Arabidopsis thaliana: one gene and its partner. The protein of the gene in region 1 interacts with the protein of each later gene in a pairwise test. Each region holds a gene or a part of one and is shown on either strand. Other genes may lie near its edges.

Region 1 (6,247 bases):
GCTCCACCAAGACTCAGCTGTCGACCAAAGATTTTAGGAGCTTCTTTAGCCTGAACAAAGTCAGACCCACCAAACACTGATTTCACCATCTCAATCACACTCTTATCTTCTGGAATATGTCTTAAAGAACCAAGCTCCACAACTCCAGAATTCACTGGTACAGACAACACAGTCTGAAAACCAGCTGACCTAGCTAAGAAAGACCTAACCCTATAATAACTCAAGCAGCTAGGCAAATCTGCAGCCCAAAGAGGCTTCCCAGACACATAGGTTCCAGCAGGACCGTACTTATTGGTATCACACCTAAAGGAAAAGTACAAAGAAGCCAGATAAAACATGTCGAGATCAGTAAGAGCTCCTGATTTCACCAAACGATGATCTTCATCTGAACCAACGAACGACAAGTGAAGCTTGCGAAGCACACGTCTTTTGATCTCATCTTGCTGAGAGTAATCCTCACCTGAAGCACCCTTTTTGACACGGCAATGACCATCTCCCCAGATCAAGACACAACCATCAGAGCTATTAACGTTGGACGCTAGCCAGAAAAGAGCATAATCCCAATCAGATCCTTCAACAACGTGACGTAACCCTTGTTGGAGATTGGAATCACTTGGTGGTGAGACAAGCTTGGACAAGGCAGTGTTGGAAGCTGAAGCTGTTGAGATGAAAAAGTCGCAAGCTTCAGAGCCTATGGTGGATTCAACCATCGCTCGATCTTCTTGATTCTCCCAAAACTTTTGACCCATTTCTCCTGAAACGTTCATTGACATGGAATATACAAAAATTAGGGTATGGAATCAAATAAAATTAAAGGTATTTGGATTGAGATCGCTGCTTACAAATGAGATAGAAGATGATGGGTTTCGTGAGGAAGAGGAACGAGAATCACGTGATTCTTGCTGAGACACCGAATTTAGGGTTTGTTGGTGAAAAAGCAAAATCCTTTATAAAGGATATAACTCTAATTTATATTGCTGAGAAAGGAATGATCAAAGAGAAGACAAAACCTGAGCTTGGTTCACTTCAGATCTGTAGTGACTTGTTCTGAAATTGACGAAGAAAGAAGAAAAGAGGAAGAGACTATGCGAGAGAGAGAATATGGGTTTAATCGTAATTTAATACCAAGGACATCATTTCCTTCAGTTTTTTAACTGCAAACTATACTTTTGCCTTTTCTTACATACCAAACCACAAGTCATTGTGGTGTAATATCTATTCAACTACAAGTAAACCCATATCACTGGATTTTTGTCGAGATTATGTGTACATGTTGGGAAATTATTTCGTAGTACAACCTATTATGATGGGAGAATCGAAACTCGTCTTCTGAATTAACTTATCGCAAATCACCGTTAATAAGCGGAAAAGGAATTTACACATCTTACAATTATGCGCAAATACAATTGTTAATTGGATGAGTCATGCCATATTCTTGAGATGGTATGATAGGTATCATTACACCATGTAGTCAATCACGATTTTTTTGGATAATGTGGTTTAGAAGAACTAATCGCGTCTAATATAGACAAACTTATTCGTTCAGCAAAACAACAATTCGATATTTTTATTCGATTGACATGAGTCTTATAAAATTTATCACTAGATGTCTAATAAAAAAGGTTCAAACATTTCTAATAATTCGATTTTCGACCAAAATAAGAAACTTTAAATTAGCATCAAACTATCTTATATGGTTGTTTCCTTGCTTAACCTTCTTCCAAATCAATTTTTCAAATTAGCATCAATAAGATTTTAAAATACATCATAATGTTGTTCCGATAGTGTGTGACAACACTAACCATTTATTCCTATACAAGTTTATTTACTTGCTAATTCATTTACTGAAAATGTCCATGAACAAAATACCTAAAAACGAATAACCATAACCCAACCAAATATTAAAGACATCTCCATCAAGAAGAAACCCAAACAGTTTTTCAAACAAAAAGAATATTAGTATTTTATTATAATTTTATATATGATTAAATTTTTATTTTAGCGAACCAATTGAAAAGAGAAAAATATTATGATGGTTTGTATAAAGTATTTCATAGTTTAACGAGAAACATTCTACACTCTCTTTCTTTTCCTTTTATTATTTTTATTATTTTAATAATAAAAAATTACCAATAAAAATGGTCTATCTTAGCTTTTTTTTCTTCATTTTTTTTTCCCTCAACCACCATTCAACAATTAACATAAAAAATAATAGTTTTTTAAGTTGAAGTTATAAGAGTCAATTTAGTTTAAGTCATATGCTTTAGTAATAAGCATGACCGTCTAATCCCAAAAAATCTAAAAAGTACAGTGCCTTAGAAATTTCCTTTACCTCGACTTCCCTAATTTTAATCTTCTCGGTCGGAACTTCTGAATAATATTAGTAGAGATCCAAAACCTCACAAATTTCGACCGAGTTTTGTTGAATTCCGATTAGATCTTTCTTCCACGAAACCCCCCCAAGTACCCATTCCATCTTCTCCGGTGAGTCTCCCATGTTGGCATTACGCTAGGGTTCTTCTTCTCTGTGGTTTCGCATAACCCAATAATCCAATTTTCTACTTGGGCATCAATGGGTCGCTCTCGAGGGAACTTCCAAAATTTCGAAGACCCTACTCAGAGGTTTGTTCCTAATTCACTACTCTAATTTCCGATTTGGGGTTTTTGTGGATTTCTCTTTTGTAATTGCCAATTTGTGCTGAAATTGATTTGAATTTCAAGTTTCTTTGAGTCTGTGTTGTGCAATTGTCATTGATCTCTAGTTGGGACAATGAGCATGGCTTCAAATTTGTGGCTTTTGATAACTTTCAGTAGCTATAGTCTCCTCTATCTTCATCTATGTAATTGTGCCAATTTCTGCTGAAATTGATTGATTTTGAAGTTTCTTTGCATCTGCTTTGTGCAACAATCATTGATTTTTCAGTTGGGACAATGAGCATCGCTTAAAGTTTGTTGCTTTTGAAAACTTTCAGTAGCTATGTAGTCTCTTCTCTGTTTTCATCTGTGTAATTGTTTTTTCACTGTTGAAGCTGACATGAAAGAATCGTGTTATGCGTTTGTTGCAGAACGAGGAAAAAGAAAAATGCGGCTAATGTGGAGAACTTTGAGTCTACTTCTTTGGGTAAAAAAATACTTATCAAGGTTTTTTTTTTTTGTTTCTCCTGTCAAGATTCTTCTTTTACTCAACATTTTTTATTTGTGGAGACAGTACCAGGTGCTGAGGGAGGAGGGAAGTATAACTGCGATTATTGCCAGAAAGACATTACTGGAAAAATTAGGATAAAGTGTGCTGTCTGTCCAGATTTTGATCTCTGTATAGAATGTATGTCTGTTGGAGCAGAGATCACTCCTCACAAATGTGATCACCCATACCGAGTTATGGTTAGTTTTCATTTACTTTTCTTACCTTTTAGTTTGGAAAGAGTTTGATTCATTATACTTAGCGAAAATATCTTTTGGTTGAATTCTACCAAAGCTTAATATATGTTTCATTTGCTTTGTTAGGGAAATCTAACTTTCCCGCTTATTTGTCCTGACTGGAGTGCGGATGATGAAATGCTTCTCCTGGAGGTACCACTACTTCTTTTATCGTACTGATATGAAGTCTATAATGTCTGATTCTTTCAGTGAAAAGTAATTTCTTTTAATGTCTTTATTCAGGGACTTGAAATTTATGGCTTGGGAAACTGGGCAGAGGTTGCGGAGCACGTGGGAACGAAGAGTAAAGAACAGTGTCTTGAGCACTACAGAAACATCTATTTGAACTCACCATTTTTCCCACTTCCGGTATGCTACATCGATCTGATAAGATACCTATCTACCTCAGTAGTGCCAGCCTTTTGCAAGGTATTAACTAATTCAGGAGAAACGTTTATTTTCCCAGGATATGTCACATGTAGCAGGGAAGAACAGAAAAGAACTTCAAGCCATGGCTAAAGGACGCATTGATGACAAGAAAGGTATGCGCTTCTTTGCTTGATGGTTTTGATTCTGCGTTGTACGTGTTGCTATTTTAATTCTGATTTTGAAGTGGTTTCTTCTTTGGCAGCAGAGCAGAACATGAAAGAAGAGTACCCGTTCTCTCCTCCTAAAGTCAAGTATGTTTCTCGTTCTTCTCATGTACTGTACAGTGATAACCCTATAATTTTCTCATCTTTTGTTCAATTTTCTTGCAGAGTTGAAGACACACAAAAAGGTGAGTTCTTGCTTTGTATGCTATATCTGGTTCGTATATAGGTGTGCTTATCGTTTTGTTATTTACTTGCTCTAGCTTACACCAGTAGTTATAATCTAGTTAACCATCGCGTAAATGGAATCATCTACTTGTAAAGTAAGAAGCTGACTGAGCATAATTTTAAAATCCAAAAAGGCCCAATATTTGTCATTGTATTTATACTGGTAGATATTTTCTCCCTTTTTCTATGTTTTGACATTCTTTGTGGTTAGAGTCTTTTGTAGACAGAAGTTTTGGAGGGAAGAAACCTGTTTCCACCTCGGTAAACAACTCTTTGGTTGAGCTGAGTAATTACAACCAGAAAAGAGAAGAGTTTGACCCTGAATATGACAATGATGCTGAGCAACTCTTGGCGGAGATGGAGTTCAAAGAGAACGATACTCCTGAAGAACATGAACTGAAGCTGCGTGTGTTGCGTATCTATTCAAAAAGGTACAACATTTAAGATCAAAAGGGGAACAAAGTCTCTTCTTTTTGCTGTCCATTCTGACGCAGGTGAGTATGATGTTTGTAGGCTTGATGAGAGGAAACGTAGAAAAGAATTCATAATAGAAAGAAACCTGTTGTACCCAAATCCCTTTGAGAAGGACCTGTCTCAGGAGGAGAAAGTACAATGCCGACGTTTGGACGTTTTTATGCGTTTTCATTCAAAAGAGGAGCACGACGAGCTACTCCGTAATGTTGTAAGCGAGTACCGCATGGTGAAACGGCTCAAAGATCTCAAGGTAAGGACATTGCTACCCTCAAACTGTGCGTTTGGTTTCTTGGATTGGATGTGGCTCACTGTGTTGGATTGGTGGAGCAGGAAGCTCAAGTGGCAGGGTGTCGTTCAACGGCTGAAGCAGAGAGGTATCTGGGAAGGAAGAGGAAGAGAGAAAACGAAGAAGGGATGAACAGAGGGAAAGAGAGCGGTCAATTTGGTCAAATTGCAGGGGAGATGGGCTCTAGACCACCTGTGCAAGCTTCTTCAAGCTATGTGAATGATTTGGACTTGATTGGGTTCACGGAGTCGCAACTGCTGTCTGAATCCGTAAGTGTCTGAGAACTGAGATACTGAACAGTGTGAGATGAGTTTTCTGTCGTTGTAACTGAAAGAAGAAAGCTCTTTGTTTTGCAGGAGAAGCGTCTCTGCAGCGAGGTCAAGTTGGTTCCACCGGTTTATCTACAGATGCAACAAGTGATGTCACATGAGATATTCAAAGGGAATGTAACGAAGAAGTCGGATGCATATAGCCTTTTCAAGATTGATCCAACCAAAGTGGATCGAGTTTATGATATGCTTGTGAAGAAGGGTATTGCTCAACTTTAAGGCTTGTGTAGTGTTGTATCATATATATATATGTGTGAGCTCTAATGAGTTATTTGTTGACATTCCCTTGTTTATTACACCTTGTCAAAATTAGTTTGTAATAGAAAAACGATTAAGTTATCCACAGATTGTGAAAAGAGATAAGGTGAATCAGAGCCACACAATCTAAACCAAATGTTTTAGTATATAAGAAAGAATCTGACTCCTACAAGGAAAGGAAGAAGTGAGATGACGATGATGTCTCTCCCCAAAATGAGACTATCTTGTCTGCAACCACACCTCCATTTTACCAGTAGCAGATCAATAGCAGCAGCTCTAGCTTTTCCAAGCTCAAGCATAAGGAACAGAACATCATGTCTTGTTCGGTGTGGCTCAGCCAGAAGAAGATTGACTACGAAAAGTAGCAGAAACAGCAAGCTTGAAAGAGCACAACCTCCTCCTCTGGGTTTGGAACGGCACTGGAGATATGCTGTGGTTGGTGGAGTCTCTGTAGGGTTGATGATGGTTTTGGTATTGGGAATGGATGCAGAGAAAGCTATGGCGCTTGGACCAGAAGGTCCTTTAATGGAAGAGTTTTGGGACAACGTTAGAAGGTACGGTCTTTACGCTCTCACGGTTAGCACTGGAGCTCTCTCTGCTGTCTTTGAGCCCATCTTTGAGCTCCTCAAGAACCCAATCTCCGCCATTCTCATTCTACTCATCTT
Region 2 (4,845 bases), on another chromosome or scaffold:
GATCTCCCTTTTATTTAGGACCAAAACTCTGTATTCGTCAAACCTGTTCGAATTGTTCCATTTCCATCGAACTATAAGAGTTGTCTTTTTGTCTCTCTTTCTTGAATTGTTCTCTTTGATTCTTTTGCACATCTCTTTTTTTTTTCCTTTAAAGCCTAAAGAGTAAAGACAATCTGGTAATTGGCCCAAAAGCCTATATAGCATTGTTGAACCAAATATAAAACTGCACGGTTGAGTAGGGTTAGGGCTGGTTCAAAATCTCAGCCTTAAATTCACTTCATTCAGGTTGTACCAAAATGTAAGTATTTGTAGACAGAGATGACTTTAACCATTGGAAATGATCAGTCCATCAAAAAAATATAAAAGACCAAGACCGGCGTCTAATGAACTACAACGAACAAAACCAAAGCAGTACTACGTTTTTATTTTATCTATTTATTTCACACATACCACCTAAATAGCTAAACGATCAATAACTTCAAAATGATCACACACATACAACAAACAAAATTAGAGAACAAATTCTCTCAAGTTAACTTTTATTTTATTGTTTAAACCACTAAATACCCTTAATAGCCCATGGCCAAACCACTAAATAACCTTGTAGCCCATATCCAAACAACTCTCTTTTCCTTTCACATTCGCCGGTGTTAATGTGTATTGGTAACCCCAATTCATAACAAAACAAAGACGGGCGCTAAACCCTAAAACTAATTAAGGCTCATCGCTATATCAACATCTTATTCTTTGGTTTAACCACTTAATTGCACAACCACCAAAAAAAGGATCCAAAACTAGTTTTACTGAGAGCTATTCTTGAGATCAATGACGACCACACTTATATTATCACTGCTTTGTCTACCCAAAGCCAACCGCGTTAGCAACGTTGCAGCCAATACACTCCTTGAAGGATTTTGTTCTCCGTCATTGTCGTCTTCTTGAGCCATTCTATTTAAATCAAGGCTCGAGGGAGTTTCTTCGCGGAGACAAAACCTAGCTATGTCACAAGCTAGCTGACTCGAGAGTACATCCCAAAGCCCATCGCTTGCTAATACTAAGCATTCATCTCCAGATTCCCTTCTCATGAATGTTACTTCTGGTTCCCATGCTACCATTGGTTTTAGATACCTGTCCCCTGCTCCATGAATTGTAACACAACATTAGGAACAATTTCCATACTAAAACTTCATGTTTAGTCTAATAAATTGTATAACCGAAATAAATTTTAAGTTGGTTAAATGATCAAACAATGAAAGATACAAAGATAAGACACATTTAAATACTTTTGAAGTTAAGAAAAATACTTCTCCCGTTCTAATCCATGAGATGGTTTGTATGAATGCCCACATTTTTTATTTTCGTAAAATGATTCAATTATTTTTGTTTTCTAGTTAATGCTGCAAATATAATTTTTTTTGTTTTTTTTTTTTTTTGTCAAATGTTAAACTATTAGGACCAATGTAAAATTTCTAGTTAACATTTTGACAAAAAAAAGAGAGTAAAATTTACATATTTTTTTTTTAAAGGAACAATTATAAAACATCTTTGAAAATAGAATTAGAATTAATCAACAAAAGAACTCGCACCAAATGAAACCAATCCATAGTACCTTAGTTAGTAAACTTAAAACCCTAAACCCCAAATCCGAAATGATTATTATTGCCCTTATAGGCTCTAGTTCCTTGCCATCTTCAACACTATCAACTAAAATCATCTTTTACTACAATATGAGAATTGAGAAAGGTATACCTATGGCTCTGGACGTGGCTAGAATTCCTTCAACTCTAGCTCCATCCACTACTAAAACTCGACCACCAGCTGCTTCAATCCTCGCACGCTCGTCTGGTCTATCCGGCTGCAAAAAACTCAACAACTTCAAAATAGAAACTCCAATATTCTCAAACCTTTACAAGAACACCACCTTGTGATCGTTACTCAGAGGAATAGCCATTCCATTTCGACACAACACCGCACGTGAGTCACCAGTATTGGCTACAATAATATGATCGTGCGTCAAAACCGCAGTGACCGCCGTTGAACCCGAAATCGCAGCCTCCCTCGGATCACAGTTACACAACGGCACACTAGTCCCACACACGCATGTACTCGTTGCCATCTCATCCATCCTCTTGAAACTCCGTTTCATCACGCCCCGCCATTTCCTCTCCACGACATCGTTTTCGCTTCCTTCTTCCTCCTCTTCGAGGTTTTGCTCTAGCTCCTCCTTGACAAACGTGTGCATAGTCGTGCTGCACAATGTTGACACCTGTCCACGCATCACATCAGCATCTTTATATTAAATGACCAAACCACCCCTGGTTAATTTTCTTACCTGAGAACCGCCGTGGCCATCGTATACCGCAAAGAAATGAACCGGTCTTTGCCGGTTAACTTCCGGTTTGCACAAATTCGGTTTAACAGTAACCGAATCCTCCATCTTACGAGATCTTCCCATAACCGAAACTATACCGTACAACGGCTCATCCTCCGTTTCTTCTCCCTTCCACACCGGCGCTTCCGATTTTTGGCAAGAAGATGCCGCCGGAGGTGCCAAAAAGCCCCCGATATCCGCCGGAAGACCACCGATCTCTGACCTCCGAGCTTGTTTCCTCAATGGAACGTCAAAACTTGAGTAAACTTCCATGTCCGTCCGATCACGATTCCTAGACGAACTAGGTTCGCCGAAAACCGCCGCTTGTCTCCGCATCTCAATTCTCCGACGACGACGTTCACGGCATTTAGTCGGAGAAACGTCGTCTCCACGTCCGGTTGAAATTGTTCTGTAGATTTCAGTCATCTTTTCAAAATTCGTTTCGGTGGATCAAGAGAGCACCGCTTTATATACATGGGGCCGAGAGAAAGAGAGAACACTTTGAACATAAAGAAGCTTACGAGGAAGACAGAACACGTGTCGGTGTTTCGATGTATTCGCGTGTTAGGCTCAGGTGTTAAGTTGTTGTCCACGTGGAGACGCCTTCGGTTTTTGTTAAACCGCATCCGGTTTTGGGTTCATGACGATAGTCGTTTAGCTAGGCTCTTGTGTCTTAACTCCTTTCTTCTTCTCCTTGCTTGAATTTGAACCCATGAGCCGGAGCTGATCTCTCAAACCATGTGAACTACAAGGATCAGGCTGGTTCTGGACTAATTCATCAAATATTATAGAAAATGAAAAACTCATGATATACGAAATATTGCATCTTGTTTCCTTTTGCTTTCAATATGAAAACATTAATGTCAAAACAATGACTATAAATGTAACAATATTGAAAAGGTTTATATCAATTTTCTTATTTTTAAAAAGAATTAAATTTTGAAAACCATCTTTTTGAAAAGTGAAAACAAACAATTTCTACTATATTAAATCTGGAATAACATTTACTGATCGTTCCAAATCTCGAGTAGTATTTTCTATAAAACCTGAACGGTAAGTATACTTAAACCAAATCATGGGATTAACCATAACGTTGGAGATATCTTCGGAGAAAAAGGTTGACGAATCGTCAATCGTCACTAGTCACTCTTTTTCGGTGCAACACATGTCACATAGTGATCATCTACAACTTCTCGATTCCTCAGGTTGAGCGACTTGTACCAATTAAACACGTAGCATAGTTATGCCAGTTTAGTCCATCAGTGCCATATGCCTTTTATTCTTTATTTGGTTTCCTACAAATGAAGAAAAACGGCGATATATGTATATTTTATGCTAACAGATTTGATTTGTAATTAATGTCTACTCAAATAAGCAACTGTACAAGATACAAAGAATCATATCATTATTTATTCAAATACTCAAGATCTACGAAAACCGTAATAAATGTTTACAAACTGTCTTTGAAATATATTAAAGTGGGTGAACTGAAATATGTGGATCGATCAATCCTAATATTTTGCTATATTGATGAGAATTAATACGAGTCGAATAGATCATAACAGTTAGGGTGGTTCTCTCTACATGAATGATATGGTTTAGCTAAAAACTAAAACAAACAAAATATTAAGCTAATATAAATGTGTAAGTTATCTAAAAGGAAGATAATAATGAAAAAGCTTGTCTAAAATTCTTAAAAAATGATTCAAACACACTTTACCTTAAATTTGTGATTAGTTGGGACTGGGATATAGTTTTAATCATTGGTGGGTTGGGTGGTTAGTTTTAGGTTTTAATGATTGAAAACTTAACTTGCCGATATAGTGATTTTGTTTTTTTTTTTATGTGAAGAAAATAAAAACTAGTGAGCTTAATTTCAATCCCTGGCTGTTTTAGTAGGTTATTATATATAAACCATATATGATAGAAATGTTATCTTCGTACATCAATGTTTGTTTAAATTGTTTATTCAGTTTTTTATGATCTTCTTGCGGAAATTTGGTTTAATAATTTTGCGTGTGGTTAGAATTACTATATGAAGGGAAGTTGCTTACCAAAAATCCTATGATCAATTCAGAAAAAGTTGGAAAATAATGAGAAAGAATAGTGTTTGTAGTGAAAATACTTTGTGTGGGGTCCAAATCTCCTGCAAAAAGAAACTAATGTGTAGAAGCATGCATGGAAACACCAATAAATTTTTCTGAAGACTCTATGGCACTAAAGTCAGTTAATTTGATCACCAAATATGACTGAAAACTATAAAGAATCGGAGAACAACAAAGAAAATAGGTTTCATTTCATGGCATGGAGTCAAGGGAAATATTCATGACATTGTCAATGATTTTAGGCTATATATGTTTCGAAGAAAAATAAGAAAATTGGTATTTTTGATGAAAAAGGAAAGTGAGGAAAAATTGAGTCGAACAAAAAGAAAAGCATCAACTTTGATGAGATAGAATCAAATTATTGAAAGA

Evidence for each region. Proteins that work in one complex are often made in the same cells at the same time.
Region 2: the proteins of ADA2B (region 1) and AHG1 interact in binary tests that used the Arabidopsis thaliana proteins (3 or more experiments, as listed by UniProt).

The regions. Positions count from the first base shown.
Region 1 is NC_003075.7:9,262,101-9,268,347, reverse strand, and holds ADA2B (ADA2 2B), read left to right. Parts: upstream 1-2,190; 5' UTR 2,191-2,572; coding exon 2,573-2,622; intron 2,623-3,065; coding exon 3,066-3,121; intron 3,122-3,208; coding exon 3,209-3,381; intron 3,382-3,504; coding exon 3,505-3,570; intron 3,571-3,660; coding exon 3,661-3,786; intron 3,787-3,883; coding exon 3,884-3,959; intron 3,960-4,048; coding exon 4,049-4,097; intron 4,098-4,175; coding exon 4,176-4,195; intron 4,196-4,446; coding exon 4,447-4,666; intron 4,667-4,748; coding exon 4,749-4,959; intron 4,960-5,039; coding exon 5,040-5,264; intron 5,265-5,351; coding exon 5,352-5,543; 3' UTR 5,544-5,727; downstream 5,728-6,247. Other genes in the region: AT4G16430 (basic helix-loop-helix (bHLH) DNA-binding superfamily protein), read right to left, coding at 1-749; AT4G16410 (uncharacterized protein), read left to right, coding at 5,772-6,247; AT4G16400 (uncharacterized protein), read right to left, coding at 6,246-6,247. UniProt on the Arabidopsis thaliana protein: Required for the function of some acidic activation domains, which activate transcription from a distant site. The exact mechanism of action is not yet known.
Region 2 is NC_003076.8:21,024,868-21,029,712, reverse strand, and holds AHG1 (Protein phosphatase 2C family protein), read right to left. Parts: upstream 2,839-4,845; 5' UTR 2,798-2,838; coding exon 2,333-2,797; intron 2,267-2,332; coding exon 1,922-2,266; intron 1,856-1,921; coding exon 1,750-1,855; intron 1,136-1,749; coding exon 801-1,135; 3' UTR 525-800; downstream 1-524. UniProt on the Arabidopsis thaliana protein: Negative regulator of abscisic acid (ABA) responses during seed germination.